Struthio camelus: one gene and its partners. The protein of the gene in region 4 interacts with the protein of the main gene of each other region in a biochemical or structural test. Links are inferred from orthologs where the notes say so. Each region holds a gene or a part of one and is shown on either strand. Other genes may lie near its edges. The genes, in order: SH3BP2, PDGFRB, LCP2 and PLCG1.

Region 1 (7,090 bases), on a different chromosome or scaffold from region 4:
AATAGCAAGTGACTAAAGTCACTGTAGAGCCTATTAGCTCTATGATCATTAAGAGCAGAAAGATATTTCCAAGATGTGGTTTTTATGTAGTTACCGTCTTGCACTACATTGACTTAATTGCACTTCCATTGTGTTAACAATGAAGTTAATAGAAAGGGTCCACCAAGTGCCATCAAGGACAAGCCACGCTCACTTGCTGATGCCTGTCCTGTTAGAAACTACAATGCAACAACACTTGTGCTTTGTGTTGTGCTAGTTTCTAGTAATAGCCACACACATGCTCCTTCCCACTCCTGTCACCAAGGAAATAGATACATATTTTTAGACTAAGTCTTCATCACGTCCCAAAACCCATTACAAGTGGCTATTAAACCAACCTCCTTCCTCACTGAAATGGCACTGAACTAGACCTCTGAGCCACAAGAGAATTACAGCAGACAGTGATCTTATGATCCCTGTGACCATTTGAGGGAGATCATAGGCTTTTGAGTATAGTAGGAGAAACACTGGAACAGCACTTTATAGGAACTGCTTCAACCGTTTTTTGAAAGACGGAACAGTGCAGTTACACTGCTCTCCAGCAAGATACAGCACTTAATGCAAGTACTGTTGTACCTGCTTCATACATGCAAGTGTATGTTTGCCGGCTGCAAACGTATGTATGTTGGTTTTCAGTCCGCCAGACTGAAAACCAAAACAGTTTGCAGTGCACAGTTAATGCATCAAGTCAGTCCAACCCTGTCTATCATTTGAATATACCTTTCTTAGACATTATCAAAATAAAGTGCCCTTCATTTTAGCACAAAGAAGGGCATCTGTATCATGAAACTCACAACGGCATGAAGAAAGGTGAACTTATGCACTTCATGGTGTACCCTTGATAAGGCCGTGCTGCTTTGTAAGTTTCTTCTGAATCATAATGACACTGTTATCAAACACAACCGCAAACACCGTACAGGCTGCTGTTACTGTATAATGTGCAAACGTACACATCTATGAAGTAATTTTCAACCTATCCCCTCAGTCAATGCATAGAAAATAGCTAGATTTGAGTATGAGGTATAATTTCACAGGCTAAAAAACCCTAAAAAAGTAAAACAAGCAAACAAACAAAGTAAAAATAAAGTTCTACCACATTAAATCTGGAATACATTACGGAAGAACACTCACCCCTCTTGGCCTTAAGAGCTATCAGCATTCAGCCAAATTAAAGCAAATACAGGCTGATTCAACTAAGGATTGCATCCTGAAAGAGCCATGAGTCCTCAGTTCTTCCTGAACTCAAGTGTAACATACAGCAGATGTGATGAGCTCCACATCTTGCAGCATACAGGCGTAAAAACACATTACTCTCATCTCTGAAACTACCGCTGCCAAAAGCTGCGTTAAAAGTCCTCACTTGTCATAATAATATTTACAGTCTATCCTGGAGCCTGGTCATGCTGAAAAATAAACAAAAAAAACTAGACTCCAAAACTGCATTACAAAAATTGAATCTGATCCAAATTCATCGCAAGCTATTTTAATGTAAATTAAATCTAAGGACTTTCTAAACTCTATAAAAGCCTCTAGATTCTATTTGGAAAGTAAAACCTAGCACAGCAAGATGTTTGCTTCTGAATGCACATAGAATTTATGAAAACGAATGCATTCCACATACCTTGCAGAGGGAGATTTAAGTTTCAGTCTCTGCAAATGATTTAGCCAAAACTGAAGTAGCATTACGTGTATAGTAGAACTATAAAAGTTTCCCCAGTGTGCTCTCATTAAGACTGAACAAAAAGTAGTTCTCAGTTCAACAGTTTACACATTTACCATCTGTTCTCAAAACTCTTTTCTAGTCCTGAAATGTCTGCAGGATTATTCTTCATTTATTAAATATTTTTCAGTATTTCTGAAATGCTGATCCGTATTTCTCCCACTTTTGGGGGTTACACGTTCCATTTCCTAATACTTCTAACAGCTCCTTTCACAATGGTCTCTCAGAAGGATTAATAGCATAGCACAAACACTGGGAAGTCAAATAGATCTTACAGGACAAAGGGGACAGAGAACTAAGCCTGACTGAGGCACACACTTCAGCTTGCTTCAGCTTGCTTTTCTTTTCAGGCAAGCAGTTCCAACTCTTCTCATCTCTTCCCCCTCTAATAATTAATGTAGAAAATTCAAGGGTAAAGAATATTTTTCCCAAATACAATATTCTACTCTTAGCTTTAGTCTGCTCTCCACCTAAAAGAGGAAAGAACACAGAAATACAAGCCACAGATAGACATGCACTAACCTGGTGACCATGCTTGATCGACACATAGTTTTCCTGCTGACAGTTTCACCAAACGATCGCTTCCTTTGCAATAACAAAGCCATTAATAACTTATGACCCCTCTCGGACATGAGAGGGGCATCTCTGCGCTGCTCCCAATTCTGTGTATAATAAGGCTCAATGTGTGACTGCGACGGCTGCTGTACACTCAACACAAAAGGAAAAGAAACCCTGCCCCAACTGCTCGTGCATCTGCACTGCAGTGTGGCCAAAGGGGACGCCTAGGCAATGACTTGTTTCCTTTGTTACTTCCTGTTTCCCCCAGTGCTAGTGGGCAGCACTGTCTTTGTCAGATTTCCCAATCTCCCAGAGAGGTTGTAAATCAAGCCATGTATATCTCAACTTCTGTCAGACAGTGAGCCAAACTGCAGAGGGGATTTTCCAGTGCTCAAGTTGCTTCCTATTCATCTTTCAATCAACCACTTTCCCACGGGAGAGGGGAGGGGGGGGAAAAAAAGTAGTCACTTTTCTTACAGTGCACTCAGGCTCTCAGACCAGCAGAGGCACAGTTCAGAAAAATTGCCTGGTGCTTCTGAAGAGCGCCAAGCGCTTCAGCACCTGCCCTACAACACAGAAATATGGTGAGTATTTCATCTCTTTTTCACTATCACTAGAGCTTTTCTTTCTCTCCAACTCAAAATATTAAGAATGGCCACTTTGAAAGATTATGCAGGATATACACAGTTTGTAGTAAGTACCGTCAGTACGTTTGACACTATTCAAACCACCAAACACAATAAAAATCTAACCCAAGGAGACCATGAGTTAAAGGGAACAATTCTACAGGCAAGTGCCACCAACTGATGATAAACAAATGCCATTGTTTTACATTTATAATAGTATTCATCCAGAGTTCTTAAAATAAAAAGATCTGAATACTTCACTGGCTGTCTGGAATTAACCAACACACGGCTAAGAAGTTCAGATAAGGGAAAAAAGCTAGCCTATGTCAGAATGATGGACAAAACCTATATAGATTGATACACTGAATAAAGCTTACTTCATGTATTTTGGGAAAAATGGCATGAATCCCTATTCCAAAATGGGAAGGAAGAAGTCTCTGTACAAATTCTTTTGTTTCTGTAAAGTACCCAGCAGTCAAAGGAGAGAAGAAGACAACATTTCACATACTAGCCATATATATAGGGTAGAAAAGCAATTCTCTATCTTCTTCACCTTGGGATACCCATTGGCACTCCTTCCATAACCAGGGAATATTGGAAGGGCAAGGAGACTAAGCATCACCTGTTGCTAGCCAGAAACAATAGCATATCAAGACAAAATCCTGAAAAATATTTAGAAGATATTAAATAAACAAATAAATAAATAAATATCCAGTTGTCTCAGTGGTTAATTAACAGATTTCTTAAACAGAAAAGCTGTAGAGCTGTAGTTTGTGCATTAAATTCAGTTGTTTAACTACTACAATATAAGTCACCCATTTAAACTTTAAGCGTTCACGTACAATGGTTTAAAGCAATCTTTCTTCCCCTAGCTCTCTGCTATACTCTAAGAGTTCTCTGCTATCTAAGCATGCTCTTCAAAGCTTGCATTACCATCTTTGCCACCTTTATCTCCACCTCAGTGAAAAACTATGATTAAAATGACAGTATTTGAGTTCATTTTCTCCCGAATTGCATACACTGCTCCTCTTTCCATTTTCAGATCTAACATACCTATGCCTTAGTTTTCCCCTTCAAACTGCGCAACTTTAATTTGATGCTGTTTGGACTCCATAGTCTCACTTTATCCAACACACATTCCCGAAGTACTGCTTTTCGACTCTGATCTTTCTGCTGCTCTCCTCTCCCTTTCCTCTCTTAGGCACTCAGAGCCACACTGTTCATTTCAAGTTCCCAGATCCCCTTTTGATTTTTCTGGTGATTTCCAACCCTGTCAAGACGATCATAGAGGAAGAACGTAGAGTCAGAATAACAGACATTTTACACAATACAAGCTGGTGTTCCAGTGAGGAACAAAAAAGTTTATAGGGTCCACAGTTTTGAAAGAATATTGAACAAAAAAAGAAAAAAAACACACAGGCTTAACTTTCTAGACTGGTCATTAATCAGAACAGTTGTGTTTCAACCACAGATAAAGAGGTTGAATAGACATGAAATCTTTATGTCCTTGATTAACTTGTCTGTTACAGAAGTGAAAGAGAAATATATCCTCCTTCATAATGTGAAATTTATTTTTGCAAAACAGCCAGGCATGTCGCTTTCACACCATTAATATGCATTTGTCCCTGCAAAATCTATAGGCAGAAGGCCTTCCACCAACCTAGCCCAGGGAAGATTTCACCCAAAAGGAGGAACTTCATTTCTTTAACACTATGACATTTTTAATTCAGATAGCCTTAATGGGCAGAGTCAAAACATCAAAAAAAAAAAAAAAATCAACTGACATTTGAATTTCACTGCAGCAGGACCACTGCCTGAGGAAGACTGTCAATCGTATCTGCCATCATTACAAACTCCTCTTGCTCCCCAAAAACAATGCAACTTACTTCAAGCTTCTGTAAAGCTAGAGCAGTAAAACACATGCAACACTACGCTGTCCTTACCAGTACAAATTCACTAGTGTAGTTGCAGGGCTGAGCTGTCTCTGCAGCACTGAGAGCTTCCTCTTACTGACCAATTTACAGGAAACTGCAAGAATGGACTGCGAGTAAAAGCAGACTGAAAGTCCCAGCAGCAAAAAAAAAAAAAAAAAAAAAAAAAAGAAGAAAGAAAAGAAAGTAACAAAATCCACTTTTCTGCAGCCACAGCAAGTTGTCAGCTTAGCAGTCAGGTTCCACCAAGAGTAACACTAGAGATCATACATACTACACCAGTCTTTTACAGAAATATATAAAACAAGGCAAAAATTTGTTACAATTCTACTGGCTTTGATGAACTGTCGTGGTGCCCAGCGACAGGACAAGAGGCAACGGGCATAAACTGAAACACAGGAAGTTCATTCTGAACCTGAGGAAAAACTTCTTGACTGTGAGGGTGACTGAGCATTGGACCAGGTTGCCCAGAGAGGTAGTGGAGTCTCCTTCCCTGGAGATATTCAAAACCCCTCTGGACGCGATCCTGGGAAACACGCTCTAGAGGACCCTGCTTGAGATGATCTCCAGAGGTCCCTTCCAACCTAAACCTTTCTGTGATTCTGTGAATCAGAAATAGATTGAGTCTTATTGTTTTACTAATTCTACCAAACTTGTTTCATACCAAGCTTCTAGATCAGTGGAAGACACATCCAGTATATCGAGAAACGATATATTTGCAAACAGTACGCTCTGCAACTGCGGAACCTAAAAGAAAAAGTGGAAGTTACTCACATGAATCCTTCATGTGTTAGGTAAGGCAGTCCTGTGAAAACAGGAATAACCACACATCAGAAACGCTTCTGATGGCTGACCTGCAGAATAACAGTAAAAAAAAAAAATTAATAATGAAGGAATGGAATGAGGCCAAAACTACCAGAAATCCTCTCTCTGTGCCAAATGAGCTCAAATTCTGTAAACTTCAGCTGCCATTCCCTCACTCTGCTTACTAAGGAAGAGCTTGAAAAAAAAAAAAAAACCCCACCCCAAAAACCTAGTAGCTGAAGCTTTGGTAACACATATCCAATTCAAAACCCAGAAACGTTTTAGGTCGAAAACTTCAGTCTCTATTTATACCCTGCTGCTGCGAAGCTACGAACACGTATAGGCATATTGTTGACTTGGGTCTTCAGAAGAGGCAGGCAGCACTAGTCGGCCAAAAAGATACCATACTTAAGAAAAAGAGCTCAAGTATTTTAAAACAAAGCTGTAATTTTCTTTTGGTTGTTTCACCAAACAGCTTGACACAGGTCCTAGAAGACAATGTATTGACACTGATTTGGGGATATACTTCGTGTCGTACATTGCTCAGCTGCCTCTAGACCAAAGTACTGCCACAAAGTACTTTACTGTGCAGGCATAGCCTGTATAAAAGGGATTAGACTCCGCAACCGGAAGAGAGGAACCGTCTGCAAACTCTCAATACAACATTACTGTTCAACAGATTCTCTTGTAACAGCCAGCCCTGAAAAATAACCTAAGATGTCATACTGACATAAATAAGGACTGAATTAAAATCAGTAAAGTTATCCCGGCATAATCTTCTTGCTGGCAATTTTATTATAAGTAGCTTTTTCTAGTTAATTTAAGGGTTTTATACTGAATCAAAAAGCCCCTCAAACCTACAGAAGAGCAAGCACAGCCAACCCCACTCAGACTGTGCCAACAGAACAGGTGAAGTTGCGTCACGCAGACAAGCCCTCCAAACAGTGCAATTTTTCCATTCCAATTCTCAAAATAAGCAAGTTTGAGACACATTAAGCCAGGACTTTAGAGCAAGAAGAATTATACAATGCATCTATTCCAGATGAATCTACCTCACACTTGCTGGCAAGGGGAGTAGTAGTACGTTTTTTGTGTCCTCTATTACAAGACTCAGGAGTTCACAGCACCACAAAAAACAAACTTTGGTGCATACAATTCCACCCAGAGTACCTCACTACTTAAAGAAGGCTTAATTTAATTACAAGATTTCAAATCTGTTGAAAACAAGTTTTTAAAATACTTAAAATGAAAGGCAAGTTCTTGAACGTTTTTGCAGCATGCTTATCATATTTCTTAAAATAAACTTGAAGACACATTATCAAGATAAGACTTCCACTCTCATATAGCATTCAAACCAGATGGACAGGTTCTTTGTTCCTTGTAACAATTTCCTGTACGTAAGGGTCTTGTCA
Region 2 (7,512 bases), on a different chromosome or scaffold from region 4:
ATATTGTTCTGAATGTATTGAACAACCTGTCATAGACCCATGAATAACAAGGCTGGAGGGGAGACCATCAGGTCACTGTTGTGCTGTTGCACCACATCCTCCCCAGCCAGATGCTGCCTAACTGGCCTGGGAAACCTGCAGTGCTGAAGGCACCCGGCCTCACTGGGCAATCTGTCTGCAAACCCGCAAAAGTTCTCCCTAAAAGTTAACTTTTTGCTTTGCAGCCACCTTTCACGTACTCAAGGACTGCATGCCACCTATCCTTGGTGTTCAGCTATCGAACAGCCCCATCGACCCTTCTTTCAGCCCTCTTGCAACCTTTTCTGGCCTTCTGATCATTCTTGGTGTTTACCCTGAACCTTCCCAACTTGCGTGCACCTTTGCTGAAGTGTGGAGCTCCAGCCTGGACCTGGCAACTGGACCCGCATTGCTCGGAGCAGGGGACCCAGCCCCTCCACGCCGGCGTGGGATGGGCCCGCGCACGCCGCCTCCAGCCGTGCTCCTCTCGGCACATCCCACAGGAAGGGCTGCTGGTTTCCCTGTGCCGCACAGCGCAATCTGGTTTGTGTCCACTGCAGCCCCCGGATCCTTTCCCACACTACACGCTGCCGAGACAGTTAGCTCCCTAGATCCTGTAGAGCCGTTTAATGCTTCCTTCCTAAACACAGCACGTTGTCCCAACTCATTTTTGCCTGGTTAACTCCAGGCTCCTCCTTGAGCCCACTGGGATCATTTTGAGCTCTGATCTGCCAAAGTACTGGCTGCCCACCCGAGCCTGGCGTCCGTCCAGCATTTAGTACATGCGCTCTGCCATCGTCCGGTCTGTTAATGCAAAGATTGCGCAGAACCGAGCCCAGGCCAGAGCCCTGTGGGACCCCACTAGAAATGCCCCAAACATTTGACAACAAGCCATGGCTAAGTACACCGACTGCAGTATTACAGCGGGTTGTGCCTCTACCGTGCTGGTGTTTAGACTGTGCTTCCCTTACAGACTACTGGCACCCTGCTTAGGTGCTAAATGCCTGGCGTTGTGTGGGGCTATGGGAGGTGAACCAAGGACAGGTATTGAGGTGGCTGCAGCCTTGAGCTCCGTCCTTCTGATCTGGAAGAAGGGACATTTGGTTTTAGGGGGAAAAAAAAACCCATCCTTTTTTGTGCTGCAAATGGCTTGCTGTGACTTCTCGCAAACACCAACCCCTCTTGATGCACTGACTGACTCAGAGGTGCTTCCTGGCCCCAGGGGCGCAGCCCCTTGATGGGGATGGCAGCATGGGCCGCCCATGCTGGGGTGGCAGCAACATCAAGGAGTGACTTTGAGCCTCCCATCAGTCGTGTGCCCAGGGCAGGCTGCCAGCCAGAGGCAGCTACCTGGCTGCTCCACCACCACATCAGCCCAGCGAGTGCCTTCTGCCAGGCAGAGCTGTATCTCTGCTGCTGGCTCAGGCAGCCTAAAGGAAACGTGCCACCTCCCTGGGAGCATGGGATGCACAGACACTTTCTCCTGGCCCTGTGCTGGAGGGGGGAAATGGCCCGAGGAGCACTGAGGCTCAACTTTTCTAGCCCTTGTCACTAAGGGAAGAACATCCAAAAAGATTAGAGCCTGCCAAGACCCTGCAGACGGGGTTTGCATGCCAAACCCTGCCACCAGCCTCCCAGCAGCTGCTGCGATCACTGTTTGCCAGCTGCTTTAGCAGAAGTCCCAGCTGCTCTGGGACAACGATGGGGCAGCACAACATCCCTTTGCACCCCGAGCCCTGCTTTGAAAGCTGCCCTGCTGCCAGCTGACCCCACACAGGCTGGTTCCCGCAACGGCCCTGAAAAGCCCTACTGCGAGCACCAGGGTTGCAGACATCCATCTCCGGGGCCGGCCTGGCCCGTGGGGACAAAATCCAGCCAAGGGCCAGTGACAGAAACGGCACGTCCCTGGGAGCATTTAGGGACAGCTATGGCTGTGTTGGATGGTTAAAGCTCCAGCAACGCTGCAGTGCCTGGAAAGCACTCAGTACCCGTGGAAACTATGGGGGGAAACACAAACCGAAGCGCTGCCCTGAAGCATCTCCTAACTCAGCAAGAGCCTGCGTTCCCACGCCGGCCTCCTGCGAGCCGCCTCGGAGCCACGTAGCGGGTGGTGGGGAGGTGGGCAACGGGGTGCCTCTCGCCGGCAGGCCTTTTGCGGCTGCGGTGCCCGTCCCCAGGCTGCCCGCGGCGCAGGCAGGTCCTGGGGATGGGGCAGAGAGAGACGCACGTCCCCCCACCAGGTCCCCCGCGGCTGCGGACATCACCGCGGGCCGGCTCCCCTTGCAGCCCCTCTGCCGGGATAAGCACGCTCATGCCTCCGAGAGACACCTCGCTGCGATGGGGACTGGCCCCTTCCCACGCACGTCCCAGCTCTCCGATAACCACGGGGCCGGAGGACGAAACCCAGGGACGCCCGGCCGACGGCGGCACACGCTGGGATGGGGCACAGGGGACTGCGGCTGGCAGGACCGCGAGCCCCTGCGCTGCACAGGGGGGGCAGAAATCCCCCTGGGTCCTGGCTGCCACTGCAGCAGGGGGGTCCCCGCGCTCCTGCCCCGTGGTCACACTGTCCCCATGGGTGCTCTGCTCTCTGTCCCCCATCGTCCCAGCCCAGGAGCGCCTCTTGGCAGCCTGGCGCGAGCTTACGGGACGGCTTTTCCCGCGGGATGCTGCGGCTCTGGGCTGCTCTTGGCGGGACGTCTCGGGGCGCCAGCCCCCCCCCACGGGGCAGAGGACCCCCTTGGGGCAGAGAGCGCTGGGGGACCGCGGGCCCGCGCCGCCGGCCACGCTCGGGGTGCGCCAGCGTGACGGCCGAGGCGGAGCGGGCGGGCGAGCAGCCCCGGGGGGCATGGCGGTCCTACCTTGTGCGGCGTGTGCAGCGGGTGAGCGCCGGTGCCCCATGTCCCGGGGCGCCGGCGCCGCGGATGCCTCGCTCTCCTCCTCCGCTCTCCTTATCTGCTGCTTGCTGAGGCTCTTGCTGCCCTCCCAGCCTTCCCCAGCTGGCAAGGCTTTTCCACTTAAAGCAGAAACAGAGGGAAGGGAGAAAGTAACAGGGGGAGGAAGGGAAGGCGGGGGGGGGGAAAAGAAGAAAAAAAGCAAGGACAGGCTGTGCCAGGGCTGGGCTGCAGCCAAGGGCTGGGTCTGCTGCCCTAGTGCATCCCCGCAGCGCCCCGGGCAGCCCCCGGCCGCCTGGGGGGGTCCGGCCGCCTCAGGCCCCGGCGTGCAGGCCAGCCCCCGGCGGAGGGGTGTGCACGCGTGTGCGTGCGTGTGCGTGCCCGTGGATAAATAAAAGAGACCTTGGGAGGAGGAGAAGGAGGGAAGGTCCCGCTCCAATGAGGAGCTGAGCGCCTCCGACTTCCTCCTCTGCCTGCTTTCTCCCTCCACCCTCCGCCGGGACCATTCGCAGAGCAAAACTTTCGATTAAAGCCCCAACGGACGAGCGCGATGAGGTTACCCGGAAAAAAAAAAAAAGACAAAAACAAAAGGAGGAGAAGGCAAAAGCGGCTGCGAAAAGAGGGGGGGTTTTGCCGCAGGCGGCCGATGGGGGGGAGCGGCAAGGGCCCAGCTAATGGGAAACAAAAGGAGCCCGAATCGCCCGGCTCTGGCCTCCTTAAACCAGAGGGAAGGGGGCTGCCCTCTCCCTGTGTCTGCTTTCAATTCTGGCCTTTTTCCCTGTTTTCTTTTTCTCGCTCTCTTCCCCCCCCCCCCCCAAGCCCCCCTCCCCCCCCTTTTTTTTTTCCTTTCTCAGGATATGAGGGGATGTTTAGAAAATCCGCTGCCCACGCCAGCAGCTGACTCATGTTTTTATTAAAGACGGCCTGTGCTGAGCTGACTGTGCGCCGTCCCTTCGGATGCCTCCCCGGCCGCCCGGGGACTGTGACTCGGGCCGGCGCTCGGGGACCGCCAACGCGCGCACGCCGCCCGCTTTAACCCCACCCGGGGCGCTCGAGGGCACGCGGAGGGACGAGCCGAGTTGCCCCGAGGACCTGCCTGGCTTTTTTCACTATTCGCAGAGAGACCCTCGGCGCTCCCCTTCCCGCCCCGGCCGCACGAGGCGCGGGCGCTCGATGCCTGAGCGCCCCTAAGGGCTTGGGAGCAGGTTAATGGATGTGCTTTAAATCTCCCCCCCCCCCCCCCCCCAGTGAGTCTGAACAAATTTAATGAGAATCTCTGAATAGACAAAGCATTGCCGTCGGTCCTTGAGAAGAACCGGGCGGTCGGCTTTGCCAGGGAAACGAGGTGCAGCACGTCTTTGGGTGGACACCATCTCCAGAACGATCAATTCTTGCCTCAGTTTCTTTCTTGAGGTTGTGCCTTAATCTGACTCCAGAAAAAGAAAAACAGGGAAAAAGTAATGTTTCCTTAAAGAGGAGGCTCCCCTGAGAAGATACGCTTCTTGGCTTCTTTCTTCCTTTTCCAAGAAAATCTCCAAACCCTTCCCATAAAGACCACGCTGCAGAAACGGGGGGCTGGTTTGTGTGCTGGGGGGTGGCATCCCCTCCGGCTCTGCTCGGTCGAAGCACGCACAGCCGGGACAGCTAATGAGTCACTGCGCGAGGCGAAGAGATTGCGGCTTATCTCCAGTTATCTCCAGCGTTTTCTAGTCACTGACGAAAAGCCAAGGCGGAAGCATTGGACCCCGCGCTCCAGTCTGGTGGTGGCAAAGGAAAGCGAGGGCTCGGGCTGCGGTGCTTCACATGGGGCAAAACGCGCCGGCCCTGTGCCCGGGTGAGGTTTGGAGAGCGGACAGGGAAAGTGGCAGCCTGAGCAGGAGATACGGGTCCGGCTGAGCCCAGAGCGCAGCGAGATGATGGAGAAAAGGAGAGGATACAGGAGAGATGTCCCTAAGGATGGGGAGGGGGCTCTGCACTGGGCTCCGCAGGGAGGTGGCGTGAAGCTGGATGAAGAGGTGGCGGCTGGGGACAAGTGGTGGCAAAACCCTGCTGATCCCCTGCGCCGATTTGGCCGGGGTCCCTGGCTCCAGGTGCGTGGAGGCCTGGTGAGCAGGGCCACGTGGCAGGGGGGCCCGGGCGGTCCCTCCGGATACGGGACCATCTGTTGTGCAGAGCCCTTGAGCGGGAGACTGGGCTCACGTAGGGCGCAGGCGAGAGGGAACGTGCTGTGCACATGGCTGTTCCCAACACTTTTCCCAAAGGACAGAGACACGTCTGACGGGTCCCTGTGCAGGGACATGTGGGCGGGTGGGAATAGCTCTGCAGAGCAGCGCTCTGCAACATCTCTGCTCCGGGCTGGTAGGACATCTCTGCTCCTGACCCAGTGAGGCCGAAAGCCTGTGGTGCCGTCCTGCTGGGCCATGCGCTGTCCCCCTTCCAGCGGGGACGGGTCTCCGGGCCTCTCCCAATGCCCAGTAGCCTGTGGACACCAGTGTCCCTGCTGAGCAGAGCTGGCCACACTTGGGCCGGCAGGCAACGGGGCAGCCAACGAGGGGGCTGCTGTGCTCCGATTTTGGCTGAGTGCTGCTTCCCAGCCCCTGAGAGGGGATCGATGGGAGCTCGCAGCCACGCAGCCTAGCAAGGAGCAGGGAGCGGAAAAGCAAGCTCTGGCCATGCTTGAGGGCATGAGCCCCAGCTCCGCCGTGTTCCCCCTTCTCCTCCCTGCAGACGGGTGACCCCAGCGCTCATCCCCGGGCTGGGAGCAAGGACAACCTGGGCGAGCAAAACCCTTTCCTGAGAGAACTTTTTATGGCTCATGGGCCGTTGTTTTGGGATGCTGGGAGACCCTGCAGCGTCCCGGAAAGCACACGGCTGCTGCGAGTGTGCGGGGCCGTGCGCTTTGTTTGGGAACATAGCGCACTGGGGTTAAAGCAGCTCCTGGGAAAGGCCAGCTCGGAGGAAGCGCCAGCGCCGGAGGGACGCTGCGTGCAAGCGCGTGGGTGGAGGGCAACAGCTCACCTACCTCCGCCTCATCCCCTCTTCTTCGCTCACCTCTATTTTTGGCTCCTGCACCCCCGCTGGTGGCGCTTGCAGGACTGAGTGCTTCCCTTGGGGCTGGGACAGCTGCAGCGTGGGCTGCCAGAGCCCCTCTCAGCTGAGGTTTCCAGCCTCGGGCAAGCCCAAATAAGTGGCACGAGTGTTAACAGGAGCTTGGGGCTGTGCAGCGTGGCCCTTCTGGTGCACGAAGCAGCTGCTGGGATAGGGACATTCTGGGGTATTTGGACTGCGCTGGCAACACCAGGATCAAAACTGCATCCCAACCTCCTTCCCCCATCCCAGATGTAGCTGGGACCCTGGGAAAAGGCCATAGCTTGGGCCTGAGGTGGAGAAGAACCATTCTCCACCTAGTGCCCCAGCGAGGAGGACCCAACATGATGGAGAGAAAGGACGGGCTGGAGTCAATGACAAGGACCCATGTGCCAGCAAGTGAGAGGCAGGTGAGAAAGAGGAGGCAGAGCTCAACCTCTCCTGCTCCTTGCAGGCGTTAACAGGGGCCAGATTCCCCTGGGGTTGCAACTCCTCTGAGCCTCTCTCGGCAGAAAGCCAGGAATTTAAGCACCGCTCTGATGTGGTGTTGAACCTCAGACCACAAGAAAGAGGCGACTGGTGCTGGGGAGCAGAGAATAACATCTGGGCAAGCCATCCATCATGATAGCTGCCAGCACTTGCTCCCAGCTAGATTGAGCTCTCGGCACAGATACTTCACCCAGCCTTTTCCAAAGCTCTCCTCCGGAGGAACTGCTATGCTGTGCAGGGCCCCGCTGCTCGGGAGCTTTGCCAGGACGGCGGTGGGTGACAGCAGAGCCCGGTGCACCAGGATGAAGGGCTGGGGACAGAAAGTGCTGGGCTCCTTCCAGGGAGATCATCCAGCAAAACACAAGGGACTGGGGGGCTCCCCTGGCTCGTGCACCCTGCTGGGCTGGACGAAGGGCAGTTCCCGGGCTTTCCGGGCAGTGTCGCGGCTGGAGCGCCATGCCATGGGGCTGTAGCACTGACCTGCGCGCCCTCGGGGACGTACCACGGAGCCGTGTGGCTGTACGTCCCAGTGCTGAGGAGGTGCTGGGTCTGCTGCAAGCGACGGCCGGTCCCGGAGGAGCCGATGCTCAGAGGCAGCCGCTTTAGCCAGCAGCAGGGATGATGCTAGCACAGTGCCTTTCCCCCGAAAAGGGGCCTTTCCGCCCCCATCCCACGCACTCTTCCTAACCCCCGCGACGGGCCTTGGTATTAAATGTGCTCGGCGGAGCCCTGGGAGGCGGCGGCAGGCTCCTGGGTGAATACTAATAGCGGTGCCGTCCGGTCGCCCCAGACTTTCCCACACATCTGCAGCCACTTAACGTGGGAAGCGTTAACCCTCTGCTTGTGCAGCGCCTGCAGGGCCTGAAATGCTGCAAAGGAAGGAGCCTCGCGGGCAGCCCGGGGAGCTCCCCACTCGCCCCGGCCTCGGCTCCCGGCAGCCTCGGCTCCCGGCAGCTGCGTGTCTCCCGGCGCAGGCTCGCTCTCTCTGGCGCAGCGTTGCCATCGGGTCGGCGGTGCTCAGTGC
Region 3 (7,844 bases), on a different chromosome or scaffold from region 4:
AAACATGGATTGTTAAGACAAAGATCCTTCAGTGTATTTTCACATATTTAGGAACAAGAAAGTTCCTGGTTCTATTCGGATAAAATTTAAATGTAAATTGAGGGACTCACAGAAATAAAATAAAATAGCCACGTTTGGAAGTACATGACTTTTAACTATTTCCAGTGGGTGCGTTAAGTTTTAGATTTGAACTGAAATAACATCATGTAAGAAAACAGCTTATCTTTTAGATCTCTAAGGGATTAAATACATTAAATATAATGGCTAGAAGGCATTTCTTCTGTTTCAAGTAGGTAAGTCCATGGCAGAAGGAACCCAAAGAGTAGGCAAAGTGACTTCTGGGAGAACTTTTTATTCTCAAAATAAAAGAATGTCTACAGCCTCGTCTGGGGCTTTAGCTAGTCAAAAGTTATACAGCTAACAGATCTTGTACTGCTGGGAGTCTTAAAGGGAACATTATGTCCTTTCTTCTTCTTTTTTTTTTTTATTCTAGTCAATTTTAAGGAGTACAATTAAATCTTGTAACTAGTTGTTGTTTGAGACCAGATCCTAGAAACATTTGAACAGCTGAGAGTTTATGGGAGCCACCTTCAGTTACTCATATACAGAAACAGACCTAACTCTGCTAAACATTTTCAAATGCATATTAAAACTTGTGCTGACTGAAGATTTAAACCTATAAATAATAACTCTTTCATATAGTGAATACCATCACAGTATCGCCAGCACAATCCTGACAGCAGCAACGAGCAACTGCTAACCAGAATTGACAAAGGTCTTAACTTCCACTGCCCTGTGACATGACCACATGATCGCTTTGTTAGGTGATGGTGGACTTGAATGTGACTGATTGATTGAAAATCATCCCTCCTTTGAAAATCATCCCTCAATTATCTCAGTGCAGCAGGAAAAGATTTGCTCATCCCTCTTGGAACTGAAGTCCTGAACATGGGGCTGCAGGATACTTCCAAGGCAAAATACATCAGTCAGATGAAAATAAAACATTGTTAAGGTATAGTACTGGACCCTTTAATCTATGTGTGAGGGAAATGGTATGGGTTAATTTGGGGAGAAGGATCTGGTCACTTAGCCCGGACTTGTCTAACTTAGGTTGACATCATTGTCTGACAGATTTCCTATAAGACTTTGAGTAGCTTTTCTTGGCCCTGATTCTCCTGTCCAAAAGAGGAATGCTAACATTACCTCTATCCTGGAGGGTGTCTGTGCATCAATAAAGGGGAGGTACTCAAAAACCCGTGTACCAATTATGATAGAACTTAGAGTTGATCCTTGTATTGCTGCTAAGAAAATCATTAGCAGCTCTTTCAGGAAGCCATTTCTTTTGTTAGTCTCTTGGAAATGGTGATCCAAACCACCATGCACCAATGCTGTAATGTCTTCCTTATTCATCTGCAATTGGTTGTTGGTAATAAGCTCATCTGCTCTATCTCTGCTTCTTTGTTCCACTGTACTGTGCTGCTAACCACTGTGCCTGGAATTAAAGGTTTGCAGATAGCTGGCAGTTTCACTTCTCTGGAGATTTTGCAAATACTGATTTTTTTGTTTGATCTGTTTGTTGCCTAGTTTTGCATTCTAGTTTCAAACTTGCCCCAACTCCCCAAAGAAAACTACGAAAACTGTTGAAACCATGAATTTTGCATGATTTCAGTGGCAAACCCTGAAGTGACCCTGTTTTTTTTTTCCCCCCAAGACTAGTCTGATAGCTCACTTGAAAATGAACACATGTATGCTCACATTGCTTGAAAATGTTCCCAAATCTTTTGATTGATCTGAATGTTAAATTCCAAGCTGACAGTTTTGGATTTGAGGAGGAACATATTCTGCAGCAAGGGAGATAGACAAGGCACTCTCTCTTATGTGAATTGAAAAACGATGAATTTGCAGAGAACATATAGAAATGAAATTTCAGTAAAATTGAGTCAGTTACACATTCCTGAGCAATTACAATGGTGTCAGCATTGCTATGTAGAAGATTAACACTGAATTGCCATATTACCTTTGAAAGTATTTCTTAACTGTGGAAAATCCTCCACCTTGTAAAATGAAATTTAGAACTGTTCACCAGTGAAAGGTATGTTAAAAGAAGCAGAAGTCCTTAGCTGACCACACAAGGTAATTTCAGAAAAAGTAACAGTGAGGGGAGAAAAGGGGTGGCTAGTAACCTTGATGAAAAGCTCTCTCATAAACAGGGGAGAAGTGAGGAAATGACCCATGAGTTTCATCCAGGAAGTTTTCAAGTAGGAAACTAGAACCACAAGGCAAAAGGTTTTCACACTGACCCTAAAAAACCCGCAGGAGTTCTTGTATCCACATCTGCTGAGTTCCTGGCTGAGTTCATATGGATGCCTTGATTAGCAAAGACATTCAGAATCTCATTTGTGAACATCGAGCAATTTGAAAAATCTCACTTCTGAAAATCATTGAAGAAGACCTAGAAAGCTTGTAATCTTTACACATTAATGTATTTTACAGCCTTCATCTATGTTTTATCAACAATTGTTATAGTAGTGTGTGCATTTGCTCTGCAAAGCCATCAGTTTCTCTTACAGTTAATTTAAAATACACTTTCAAGATTCATTTATAGGTTTTACTACCAAGTTTAGCTCAGTTTCTTAATTGGTGGTGGTTTTTGGTTTTATTTTTGCAACAAACTTTTTCTGTTAAAAAAAATCTATCTTTAGCATAAACATTTCGCAGTAGTTTGCTCCTCTGTCATACAAAGACAAAACACAGTTAAACTCACCGTCTTAAAATATTCTGCTAAGTCATCCGGGTTCCAGGTAACCACGTCTGAACGATAGGGAATGTTTCTCAAATCCATTGTAAGTAAGTTTTCTCTTTCAGGCAGCTAGAGAATGTTCATGCCAGTAGTGTCAATGAAATTGCCATGTATTCCCTGTGTGTGATCACCTCCAGCACGTATAAATAAATGCCCAGCTCCTTCTCTTTAGCAGACTTTTTATTTCAGAATCACGTTGTTAGCACATCCAAGAGAGCTACTGCTTCCTCTAATACAAAATGGTCTCTTCTCAGAAAAGTTGTCAGCTAGTCAGCCTTACCACTTCCTTTGTCTGTATATATAAATAAGTAAACAAGGAAGCACAGCAACCTGTTGAAAATGCTCTGCTTGCTGCATATAAGTAAGCTCCTATGGACTCTATTTGCTTGTAATTACATCAGAGCACGTCTTGGCATATTTCTATACTATATCCAGTATAAAAATACTGGTACTGCACTGATCTCTGCTGCACTGATCTCTGCTTCTGTGCCAGTCTTGCCCAGGCAGTCTCTGAAAACACAGAAAAGTTTACTTAAGAGAAACTTCTTCACCCTATCTCCCTGCCTGGAGTGTCACATTGGCTTTCTATATTATAATCTAATACAATTCATGCGATAGGTTTCTCAAACTCATATGCAAATTCTAATTAGCAGGCTCTCCATTATGTCTGTGGATTTGATCAAATCATATGTGCATAGCAGTATGCTACTTTATATTACATACAGAAAATAAAAGGTTCTTGTTGACGTTGAACATAAGAAGGTATGAATGATTTAGGAGTGTGAATACAGTCATCATTTGTTCAGTCTTTCAAATTTAGGGTGATGACTATCTCTCAGTGAAATTAAAAGACAAACGTATAAAAAATGACTATATTGCCATTCTTTCTCCCTCTAGCTCCATTTCTTAGCTGCCTCTAATGAGCATTGTTATATGTCTGAAAAAGAATCCACAGAACCATAATATTACCGCAGGTACCTGACAAACAGCATCTGTCATGTATAGCCAATTCCTGCACCATCCATTCAGTGAGACCCTTTGGTGAGAGTACATCGAGTAATTCAAAAGTCACCTGTTTTTTTAAAAAGACCTGGCGTGTTCATTCTCACTTTTCTTGATATGGAGCTTCCTCCCCAGGTTGTACTGGTGTGCATGCTTGGGGTCACGGTCCGCATCTGCTCCAGTGGAGAGGACAGAAGGTGGTATTTTGTGAACTTTCTATATTAGAAAGAATAGATCATAGTTCTGAAGCACTGGAAAGGAAAGTTTCTCTTCTTTCTAATGAAATGCCTCACTCTTGCTCTTTCTAGTCATTGAAGACCTTCTGACATTGGGCCGCAAATTCACAAGTTTATTGCATACAGCTCTAGTTGAGATAGCAGTCTCTGTAGTATTATGCATGAGAATTTTCCTTTTGAAATGTATAGTCTTCATTTGATTTAATGTAGCTTGCTTTTTTAGAGAAACATTTTGGGAAATGATGGCAGCAAGGTATTTAAAATTCTCTAAAACTAAACTGCTGTAACAGCTGTTCTAAACACAGCATAGAACTTAGCAAATACATGGTAGAGCTAAGTTTTATTGGTTCTTATTTGCACTGGCCTGTATAAACCATCGGAAGCATATACTGACAGTATCGCAGAAACATCATCACCTCTTCATTTTAAATCTAGGTCTAAGGAGGAAATAAGACTAAATGAACATGTGACAAAGGAACCCCAAAGGAAAAGTTGTTTTGATGGTGTATCAGCAGCAGCAGTAAAGAGGAGGTTACATGACATCTATCTCTAACTCCCCACCGGGCACCATGAGGTCTTTCAACAAAGAAACGGTTTCTTCCAGTACAGACACGTGAAGAAGACCATGCTGTAATTTCTGACTGTTCGTGCAATTACAGTTTTTCAGTACATTCCACGTGGCTCTGGAATCAAATTTCTATCCCAAGGTAAATCTAATGTAACAACTCCAATTTCAATGGTATTATTCTTTACTTACAGTAATATAAAAATTATTAGCTAAATTAAAGTTTAGTCTGACATTGTTATATGTTCAAAGAGAAAGTCGGTCACCTTTAAAGTCTATCTACTATTTTAGAGAGCCACTAACACAGAAAGTCTTAACACATTGAAGTCATCATTATTATTTGCTTGGATCCCATGATGGATGATCTTTTGTTTTATGTTGTGAGTCACTGTAAATATTTTGTAGGTACATGCTTATTGCATGCGTTTTACAAAATCCCAGCTCACACTGACTTGAGCTTTCTCTTTGTCTAGAACCATTTTTTTTGTAATTTGATAAAGGCATAGGATGTGGTGGCCGTGTCAGGGTTGCTGAGAAAACATAACTTTGAGTTTTCTGCATTTGAATTTTTAGCTATACTGCTACATTAGTGTAACAATTTTGAATTGCATCGCTAACCTATGTATGTATTTTAGTGCGGAAAATGTTACTCAGCTCACAGATAACCACACGTGAGTCACATCCTCCAATCCCAACTGAACTGCATAGAGTTGTTGTTATGAAAAATGCTTTAAATGTCTTTCTTTGTGGCCCAGAAATGTAATTTGGCAAATCTATATTCAACAAAGGGAGATCTTGGTCCTGGAAAAAAGAAAAGGACATAATTGCCTTTCTCTTTCAGTTTTTCCCATGTTCACTTTTCTGGCATTTCCCCACTTGTTTATTGCTTCTCTCTCTCTCTTCAGAGCCACAGTTATTGCATCTAGAATCAGCACTTTCTCGCAGTGCCCCTGTTGCTGCAGCGTCTTCTGCTCATAGAGAGGGAACTCCCAACACTGTAATGGCTGCCAAGAGGGGAAATTGAAAAAGTTGAATGTCCAAGTTTAGGAAAGCCCATGTCTAATCTCTAGTCAGATTTGGGTAGGAGGGTAAAGAAGGATGTTAGGGAAGCAATAACATCCAATTTTTATGGAGGAAGACGGAATGACTGCAGGGTGGTTGGGTGAACCACAACCAACATACAAGGCCACAGAGAGCTCTTGTAGAAGAAAGCCAAGTTTGACAAGCTACATACAGGAATTCGATTGTTAACTGAAAACATTTCAGAGGTGGCAATCCTCACTTTCTGCTTAGATCCTGCTATTGTGTTTTTCATGAGAGGGAATGATCACATGCTTTTAGATCTTAGTAGTCCCATCTTATGTTGCAAGTGAGGACGGAAGTGAAGACAGAATGAGTTTGCAGGACAATACACATCTCTTCTGTAATAGAATTTGTTATAGACATCAGATGGCAATCTTCCATGAAATGGATTTAGATTCAGATTTCCAAATTTCTCCTAGATTTCCAAATTCTGAGGAGAACGTTCATGTTACAACTGTTACCAGTTTCATACCTATTTCACTGTGACCTTTTTTTCCCTTTTGAAAGAATTAGGTCTTTTAAAGTCAATACCTGCAGTGACACAACCTTGGCATAAAGAAATATGCCTCTTCTAATAACAGCTGCCAGCGGAACAGTTTTTTCAGATGTAGCAATGGTCTGCTAAGCAGTATTTGAAATCTGAGAGCCTAGCCCTTTCAGGTAAAGTAGGAGGGAAATTCACGTTGCCCACATTCTGCTGTGTTCAGAGGGCCTCAGTACTTTCCATGTCCTCTCATCTCTTCTGTCCCCTAGCACCCTGCTCAAAGTGGAATCAAGGGCTTACTTAGAACAGCTTTCAGAGTGGTTTATTTTTCTGCAAAAAATAAACAGTTGCCAGGTCAATTTTTCTAGAGCCAAGCAAAAAAAGTTCAAATTTCATATGAATGTGGTCTTCATGTTCATCTCCAGCCCAAAGCAAAGTGGATTTCGATGACATGTTTTTCTGTAGTCCTGGCCAGTATTGTTTTTCAAAGTCTCAGGCAATAATTTTTTTCTTTTCATCTTGGGACTATTTATTATTGCCAACCTACGTTTTCTTTTATCATTGCATCCTCTCATTCCGAGTTGTATACATGCCTATACAACATGGTAAGAATGTTTTCATTTTTATGCCATTTAAATATCTTCCTAGTAATGTTGTATATTCCTTACTGTCTTTAATAATCACTAAGCCACACTTGCCACTCCTTAAATGTCCTTATCCATTATTCCCTTCAATCTTGCAGTCAAATGTTAACCTTCATTTTGCAATGTCTGTGCAGTAATAGAAGATGCAGAACCAAGTTTTTCAAAAGTTAACAAAAACCTCTTTGGCTGGATTCTAATTACAAACCTGCCTCACCACCTAGCGGCTAGCCCGCAGAGAACACCAGTGAGTAGGGACCACTATTTTAAAGCAGAGGCATGGCACACTGATTAGCTGACACTGTACCAGTTTGGTACTTGGGTTAAAAACTAGGTTATGGTTATGCCACCTTCCTAAGAATAGCAGTTGAGGTAGATGCTTACCAGCCTACCTGCATCTGAAATAAAAGGTTTGACTGAATCTATATCTGAGATACAGGCTTCAAATACTATTTCATAGAAAAATTCTGCATACTGTTTCTGAGCTCCAGCCTCAGCAATAATTTTTCTGCATGGAAAAAAATGTACATAATTGAAGAAATATAGCTTTCACTGTGAGTGAATTGTACTAGTATGAGTAGGTGGGAAAATGGAGTTTAGGCAGTTATGAAATGCCTGAAATCCTAGAATATAGCCACTAGAGTGCAGCTGAACTCTATTCAGAAATCAGAAAGGCACAAATACGAACTAAGTTGCTGTAAAAAGGCAAATAGTTTGAGATACTTTAGCGGTAGTATAGTTTCCTTAGGTAAATATTTCGTCCCACTCTTTTAGGGTCATATGTGGCATAATGTGTCTCATTTATCCAAACAAACTGGAAAACCGCAGAGGAGAACTAGAAGGGACTATGTCTACCGAGGAAAGGCTGGAAAATGTTTTGCTTAGCCCGGAAAAGGGAAGTTGGGAAAGGGAGAAAGAAAAAGGAGACAGACTTGTTTGGGAGATAGTGATCAGTTGTACTCGTGCCCTTTGGATATGAAAAGCTCTGCTAGCAAGGAAGGCAGCTGCAAGCTTGAAATGTAGGTATTACAAA
Region 4 (7,261 bases):
GAAAAACGTAGGTCAAACCTGGATCTGCTGCGTTGCCCGTCCAGTTCGCAGGGGCCACCGCCCTTGGAGCCCTACACCGCTCCGCGTTGGGAAACTGAAGCCGGACGAATTCAAGATATAAATAAATAACATGGTTTTATAGCAAAATCGAAGACGGGGGACAGTGAATCTGGAGCTGCAGTGGGTTTCGCAGCAGCCGGCATTTTATAATCCGGAGGGATGCTGAAACGCGAGCAGGGGCGAGGGGGACGGCGGGGCGAGCCGCAGGCGGGGGCGCTCGGAGAGGTAGGCCTGCCTTGCTGGACACGGATCCGTCCCAGGCTTCGCGGCTAACGCAGGCAGCAGGCAGCGCGCCAGCGATCCTCGGCGGCTCCGCGGCCCCAGGCGGCTCTGCTTTCCATCCCAGGCCAAAAAAAAAAGGCCCGCGCTGCTCCGTGTCTGCTAACACGGCGCGAGGGCGGGAGGTAACCCAGCACCGCGATCCCCGTCGGAGTTTGCGGAGCCTTTCCTTGCTCGCTGCAAGGGCAGGAAACACTCGTCCTCAGCAGCGATTTTCACAGCCCTCGGGCTGGTTGCTCGTTCGCTAAACCGGGGAGCTCCCCGGGGCTGCAGCTCTGCTTACGGCAACACAAGAGCAGAAAGCAGTGAATAAACAACCCGGGGCACGGTTCATCTCTCCAGGAGGCTGCAAGACACTGAGTAACTCTCCGATGAGGTTCTGGCACCTCTTCTCGAAGCGCCTTCCCCTGGGCTTCGCGATGCCTCTGGGGGGGCCTCAGGTTTTTTTTAATCTAGATTTTTCTCACCAGACCTTGAGCCAGGCCATAGTCTGTCCTTAAACCTGTGGTCACCTGGGTGTTAGCCCGTTGCTTGTTCCTGGGCAGAGGATGCAGCTGCTGCGTGAACGCATGCAGGATTGCAGGATGGGGGGGTTGGCACCCCATGCTTGGGACTGCAGATCAGGCCAGGGACTTTGGGGGCCGGGCTCATGCAGGGGAGGTGCTGGGGCCATTGCCGAGGTGAAGAAAGCCTTTCTCTCAAGGGGTTTTGCAAAGAGAAACTTGGAGAGCCCCGCTCACCTCCCCAGCCGTGCAACGAAGGTGATTACGGGGAAGTGCTTCAAAAGCAGAATGCTCCCAGCGTGGCCCACCCCGGATCAGACCCCAGGACAACCGAGGAGTACGCAGTCCGCAGGGGCTGGAGGAGGTGGCTGGGTGTGATTGCTCACTGTCTCCAATACAAGAGCAGGGGGCTGCCGAACGAGGCCAGCAGGCAGCGGACAAACAAAAGCAGCTTCGCGTGCTGTAAAATCAAGCTGTGAAATTCCTTGGCACGCAACAGCATGAGCACTGAGAGCCTACGTGGGTCTAAAAGGTGGTTAGTCGAACTTGCGGAAGAAAAAAATCCAGCCAAGGCTCCTTGTTGCAAACCACCAGCTCAACATGCGTGCCCGAGAGACCCACGTCTCCGGTGCCGAGGGGACACGGACGTACAGGGGAAGGACGGGCGGCCCGTCTGCCTCCAGGCACCCACTCGCAGCGGCAGGACAGGGCTGGCCAGCCCCGGCGGAGCCGAGACGGACGCTCTCGTGTGGCTGGGACCAGGTGGCGTTTGCTTCCCCCAGGACCTGCCGTAGCGGCTCGTGCCCCATCCCTGAGCTCAGCAGAGCCGGATAACCTCCTCGGGGGGAGCGAGCAGGCAGCAGGAAGGAGACGTGTTCCTGCAGCTGCCTCGCTGCGTCGGTACGAGCCGGACTGGTGGCACCTGGACAGGCGTCAGCCACGGCGCTGGGGTCCCGTTAGCTGCGAGGAGGAGCGGGGACCAGATGTCCCTATGCCCTATGAGCCCCATCCTACTCACAGAGGCGGGTAATGACCAGATATACCCACGTGCTCAGCTCCATAAGTTACCTCTCTGCTTCCTCACTAGCCAGGCTCCCCTCTCAGGTTTTGCCCTCAAAAACAAGGGTGTGCCCATGCCGCTCGGCTATTTTCGGACCACTGGGAGCCGGCTGCTTCCTGCCGGTCCCGAGCGCGGCTGTTACACAAGCAAGGGAGCAGCTTCCCCTTCGCGAGCGGCAGGTCGCCCCTTCGTCGTGCGTGCGCAACCGGGGCCCCCGCGCCGCGGTCCCACGCCGGCAGCAGCGGGCTCACCTGGCCGCCGCTGGGGATGCCCAGGCTCGCCCGGGGTCACCGGGGCTGCGTTGCAGCCACGTGTTTGTAAGAGCTGCTCCAGGCAGCTGTGCCTTTTCCGAGCGCGTGCCCAGCGTCCCGTCGCCCCAGGTCATCTCTGAGCTGGCTCCCCTCCCCGGCGCCCCGTTGCCCCTCGGTCGGGGAGAGCCTGAACGTCGACCCCGGCGAGCCGACCCCGGCGAGCCGACCCCGGCTCGCGCGGCAATCGGATTTGCGGCGAGAAGCTGCTCTGAGGACAAGGAGGGCAAAGCGCAGCGTGGAGCTCGTTTTTTGGCTTGCTCTCTGGCTCGCGGTGCCGTCAACGTGCAGGTCGTTTTGACGCGGGCAGGTTTAGGTTCTTATCCCGGTTTTGTTTTTCCTTTCTGGTCTTTTTAACGCCTAGGAATTGGGCAGGATCCTTTAAAACCGTGAACGTCGTAGGGCTGCTTGGGCACCTGCATGTGCTTGCGCCTGTCCTTTAGACGCCGGATGGGGGGTAACCGGACACAGACAGTGGCTTGCGTTTGGGGTGCGTGCGGGGTACCCTTAGGTTGGGCGGGAGACAGCATGGGGATGCGCTTGCCTTCAAGCAGGCCGGTTCGTCGCCAACGTTTCCTGCGGGGTGGCCAACGGCGGTGTCTCCCCCCGGGGCCGGGCGTCCGGGAGACGGCCGCAGGCGCAGCCCTGCGGGGCGGCAGCCTCCCGAGGGGGAGGAGGGCAGCGGGGAGGAAGGCTGGGAGGGGGGAAAGGGAAATTGCAGGCTTTAGCTGCATGAATGGAGCAAACGGTCCAGAACCGCTTTCCAATTCAGCCGCTTATCCCCTTGCTAAGGCGGCTTTTGTTTCCCGCGGAGCGCAGCCCTGCGGCGGCACAGCTGGGGGGGGGCAGCTGGCTGCGAGGGGGGCTCAGCCCGGGCGGGGGGCTTCTCGCCCCGGCCTCTGCGGCCCGCACCGAGCGCACGAGCTCCCGCTGCTGCACCGAGCCGGCTCCCCCGCCGCTGGGGCACGGCCTTGCTCTTGCCCCGGCCCCCCGGGGCCAGAGGCAGCGGTGGGCGCTCGCCCGTCTGCCGGCCGCGAGGGCGAGACCTTGCGCCCACCTAGCGGCCTGCACTGCCTCCCTCACCTGATTTAGCCCCCAAAAGAGCCAGTCTTGCTCAAGTTGCGCGGCCCTGCGGAGCGGCCGTCGGCAGGCCGCGGCAAGGACCGCCGGGCAGCCCCACGTCGCCGCGTCGGACAACGCTAGCCACGAGCCGGGACCGGCGAGGAGGACGCTGCTGCAGCCGGAGGCCGGGAGCGGAGCCGCGGGGCTGGACCCCCCTGGGGCTGGAGGGAGCACAAAACCCTCCCGCCCGACCCCTCGCAGCGCGGCAGGGTGGAAACCACCTCGCGTCCCCAGAAGCGCCCGCTGCCAACGCGAGGTGTGGGGGGCTGCGGGGGGCTCGGCTGGCTCCCTCCTGGCTGTGCACCGGCGCGCTGGTAGGTTCACGCCAGCACCCCACACGTGCCGTGGGACCCCACGTGTGCTGTGCCATGGGGCGCACGGCACACTGGCACCTCACACGTGCCGGGGAGCGCTGGGAGCCCACGTGGGTTGCTGGGTGCGGGGTGCGCTGGGACCTCAAGCACACCGCGCTGTGGGGAGCATGGCACTCCGGGGACCCCACAAGCGCTGCAGAGCGCACAGCACGCTGGGACCCCATGCGAGCCGTGCCGTGGGGTGCACGGCACACCTGGGAGCCTGGGAGTGCCGTGGGGTGCGCGGCACGCTGGGACGCCCGAGCGCTGCGCCGTGGGGTGCGCGGCCCTCCTGGGACACCGGGCAGGCGGCGCGGTGCGTGGCTCACCAGGACCCCACGCGCGTCGGAGCAGGGGGTGCTAAAGCCAAAGCCTGCAGTTTCCCTTTCTCCCCTTTGTGCGGCGGCGGCGCGGGGCTGCGGGGCCCGGCGCGGAGCAGCGGAGCAGCGCAGCCGCCGGCACCGCGAGGGGGCCGCGCTCCGCCGGCGCGGCCGCCCCTTCCCTGCCCCCGCGCCCGCCTCCTGGCCGCCGGCCGCCGCGGCGGGCGGGCATGGGGCGCGGCGGGCGGCGCTGAGCGCGGCGGCGGCGGCGGCGCTCCGGGCGCTCCCGCTCCCTTTTGTTCGGCGGCTCCGCGGCGGCGGCGGGCGCTAATGGCGGCCGGGCCGGGCAGCGGCCCCGGCGCGCCCAGCGAGGCCGAGGCGGCGCACCTCTGCCGCAGCCTGGAGGTGGGCACCGTCATGACCCTCTTCTACTCCAAGAAATCCCAGCGGCCCGAGAGGAAAACTTTCCAGGTGAAGCTGGAGACGCGGCAGGTCACCTGGAGCCGCGGCTCCGAGAAGCTCGAGGGCGCCGGTGAGTGGGGGAACAACGGCGGCGGCGGCGGGGGGAGAGGTTTCCTGGTTCGCCCGTGCCGGGGCCGGGGCCGGGGCCCGCCTTGCCCTGCGCTGTCCTGCCCCGGCGGGGACCCGGGCGGGGCGGCCCGGGGGGGGCGCGGGAGCGGGCGAGCGCCGGGCCCGGCCCCGCCGGTGCTGCCGGGACGCGGCGGGTGGAAACTTCCCGCACCGTCCTCGGTGCCGTGCACCGCCGGCTGCCGCGGAGGAGCCGGCACCTCTGCCCCGGGTAAGGCGCACCGGGAGGAGGCAACAGCGGCCGTGTGAGCCCCGTGGGGGTTACACCTCAGAGCAACGGATGAAATTAAACAAACAGCCCCCCTCCCCCCCAAAAAAACAAAAAACCCAAAGAAACCCAACGCCAGAAAGTGCACCGAAACGCCCCGTAAGGTCAGCGCTGCCTCCTGCCCTCGCCCCTTTGTGCCGCCGTGAAGGCTGATGCGGGGTCAGGGCTGGCGTGGCGGGTCCAGGCCCGTCTGCGGCCATGTGTGCGGAGCTGCTTGCTGGCTTCGGCTTCCCGTGGGCGACGTGGTTCTTTAGCACGAGGAGGGTAGGAGAAAAGACTCATAAGAAACGTGAGTATAAAACCACAAAGACGGGTGGGAAGGGAGAGAGAGAAGGGAGGCCCCACACCAGGAGACTTCTAACCTCTTGCTTTGGTTTCCTAGCTTACTGCTGTTTCTTTTAAGTTACCTTTTGCACCCCCATGCGCACCAGTCTGAGGACACTGTCTCTAGTTTGGCTCTGGAGGAGAGGAAGAGCTGACACGCACAAAGATGAGGTGACGTAAATCCTGGTGCCGTCACTGTCGTGCGTTAGCACCATCCCGCGCGTTAAGGGATGTGACTGAGGCACAGTGCAGCTTCGATGGAGGTTGTCGTCTGTCCTCTGCTAACTTCTGCTGGCCCAGGGTGGAAAGGCTGGAAATATTTAATGTTACCAGAGGGCTCAGATGAAGAGAGGACGTGGAAATGATGGACACAGTTCTTTAGCAGGACCTCAAATGCTAGTGTGTCCAATCTGGGGCTTTCGTTTGCTTCAAAACCCTTGGAGTCTTCCAGCTTCTCCCCAACAGCTCCTCCAGGCGGATCTGGAGGACGCCTAGGTTTCCCAGCCCCATTAACATCGTGGGATGTTAAGTTCCTCCATACCTTTCTCAGGGTGGCCTCTAGGAGCTTTCAGGCAGTGGGAGAAAGAGGGAGGAGCCTGAGGCATGGCTTGCCCTGGATTTAAGTCACTTTTAAAATATGGAAAAGCATTAGCTTGCTGGCAAGATGCTGCATTTTGTGGCAGTGGGGGACCAGGGCCTGTGAGGGAAGAACCCCTGGAGGGGCTCTGGTACCTGCTGCCCTGTACACGGGTGATTATTCCCATGTGCAGATGTAAATGTTGAAAACTTAATTTTAGAGAAACCTAGAGAACTTTAACTTCTTGCACCAAAACTGTAGTAGTAACAATGCTTATAATGTCTTGCCGGTGAGGACTTACTGTGCTGTGCATAGGGTGAAGACCAGACCAGTAAAAGCAGAGAACAAGTTCCAGGGACCGAGGTAATCAAAAAAAGGCAATCCATGTGTTTCTAGCAAATGAAAAATAAGAGTCAGTGGTCACTGAACACCTCGTTCCCTTATGTCCCTTTAAACATCGTAGCAGAAAGTTGTTGGTGAGTTGGCCCTGGTGGCCTTGTGCTCATGGTCCCCAGCATGTTCCTCACATCCCATGTTGAGCGCAGCCCTCCCAAGGCGTGTGTTTTCTGACATGTCGAGATGGGTGGTACTATAGCAATAAGATGTCACCGTAAAGAGGTTTCTTCCTCCCCAAGCTGTCTCTGATGCCAGATGCACTAATGCCCAGCAAAGCAACTTTGTTGTCGTTGGCAAATTCTACACATGGCCTCTTCTCTGCACCTACCTCCTCTCACCTTAGCTGTTGGCCTTAGTTCCCTCCTCCTCCCAGCACCCAGAAGAAAGGGTGTCCTGTTGCCCAGCAATCCCGAACACTTGGCCAGTTTCCCCATTTTCATCTGAATGTGCTTTCTGGGTGTAAAAAGGATGCCTGGGAGACCCCGGATGTATAGATTCATAAGAAATGTGGCAATTATGTGTTCCACGTATGGCGTTTTATATGACAAATGCATTGACTTATTTCTCTCCTGGCTCATCCCACTCTTGAAATCTACCCTTGATTGGCACAGGGCCCACTTGGCCATGGTCTGATCCAGGGTAAAGAGTCTGAGCTGGAGTCAAGCTGACCATTTTCAGTTAGGTTTAACCAAGAGCAGTGACTGATTCAGTTCTCCTGAGGAAGGCGAGCAATGCCAGGACTGGGAGCAGATGGTTGGGGCTGGCAGGGAACACTGGGCTTGGCTTTCAGTGTCAGAACTGTCCAGGCCCTCATGTCGAATATGCACAAGACTGCGAGCTGAGCAGAGCGGCCTGTTGTCAGGACATTTGATGTTCTTTTGCATGGAACAGCATCTGTGCTGGGCGATGCTTGGGGGGTCTACAATTCGAAAACTGCAATGTTCATGGGTTGGTAATGAATTTATTGTGTTTCCTGAGACTTGGAGACCTAAAAGGAGCTTCACTCTCCCCTGGACACAAGCTAGTTGTCTAAATAAGAATGATCCTAATTTTTTTTTATGCATTTTCAGAACAGGTATCTGCAGCATACCACCTACAGAGGC

Evidence for each region.
Region 1: the proteins of PLCG1 (region 4) and SH3BP2 form a complex in vitro, tested with the Homo sapiens proteins (2 studies listed by BioGRID, with this or other methods). The link is inferred for Struthio camelus from reciprocal best matches to the Homo sapiens genes PLCG1 and SH3BP2.
Region 2: the proteins of PLCG1 (region 4) and PDGFRB form a complex in vitro, tested with the Homo sapiens proteins (3 studies listed by BioGRID and IntAct, with this or other methods). The link is inferred for Struthio camelus from reciprocal best matches to the Homo sapiens genes PLCG1 and PDGFRB.
Region 3: the proteins of PLCG1 (region 4) and LCP2 form a complex in vitro, tested with the Homo sapiens proteins (2 studies listed by BioGRID). The link is inferred for Struthio camelus from reciprocal best matches to the Homo sapiens genes PLCG1 and LCP2.

The regions. Positions count from the first base shown.
Region 1 is NC_090945.1:76,988,727-76,995,816, forward strand, and holds the start of SH3BP2 (SH3 domain-binding protein 2), read right to left. Parts: upstream 3,154-7,090; 5' UTR 2,392-3,153; coding exon 2,282-2,391; intron 1-2,281. UniProt on the Homo sapiens protein: Binds differentially to the SH3 domains of certain proteins of signal transduction pathways. Binds to phosphatidylinositols; linking the hemopoietic tyrosine kinase fes to the cytoplasmic membrane in a phosphorylation dependent mechanism.
Region 2 is NC_090954.1:7,334,267-7,341,778, forward strand, and holds the start of PDGFRB (platelet-derived growth factor receptor beta), read right to left. Parts: upstream 3,046-7,512; 5' UTR 2,920-3,045; coding exon 2,880-2,919; intron 1-2,879. UniProt on the Homo sapiens protein: Tyrosine-protein kinase that acts as a cell-surface receptor for homodimeric PDGFB and PDGFD and for heterodimers formed by PDGFA and PDGFB, and plays an essential role in the regulation of embryonic development, cell proliferation, survival, differentiation, chemotaxis and migration.
Region 3 is NC_090954.1:19,271,773-19,279,616, forward strand, and holds the start of LCP2 (lymphocyte cytosolic protein 2), read right to left. Parts: upstream 3,081-7,844; 5' UTR 2,843-3,080; coding exon 2,765-2,842; intron 1,013-2,764; exon of another isoform or gene 822-1,012; intron 1-821. UniProt on the Homo sapiens protein: Adapter protein primarily involved in signaling pathways within T-cells, as well as other immune cells such as platelets, mast cells, and natural killer (NK) cells.
Region 4 is NC_090959.1:7,244,745-7,252,005, forward strand, and holds the start of PLCG1 (1-phosphatidylinositol 4,5-bisphosphate phosphodiesterase gamma-1), read left to right. Parts: upstream 1-4,248; 5' UTR 4,249-4,335; coding exon 4,336-4,537; intron 4,538-5,044; exon of another isoform or gene 5,045-5,059; coding exon of another isoform or gene 5,060-5,150; intron 5,151-7,261. UniProt on the Homo sapiens protein: Mediates the production of the second messenger molecules diacylglycerol (DAG) and inositol 1,4,5-trisphosphate (IP3). Plays an important role in the regulation of intracellular signaling cascades.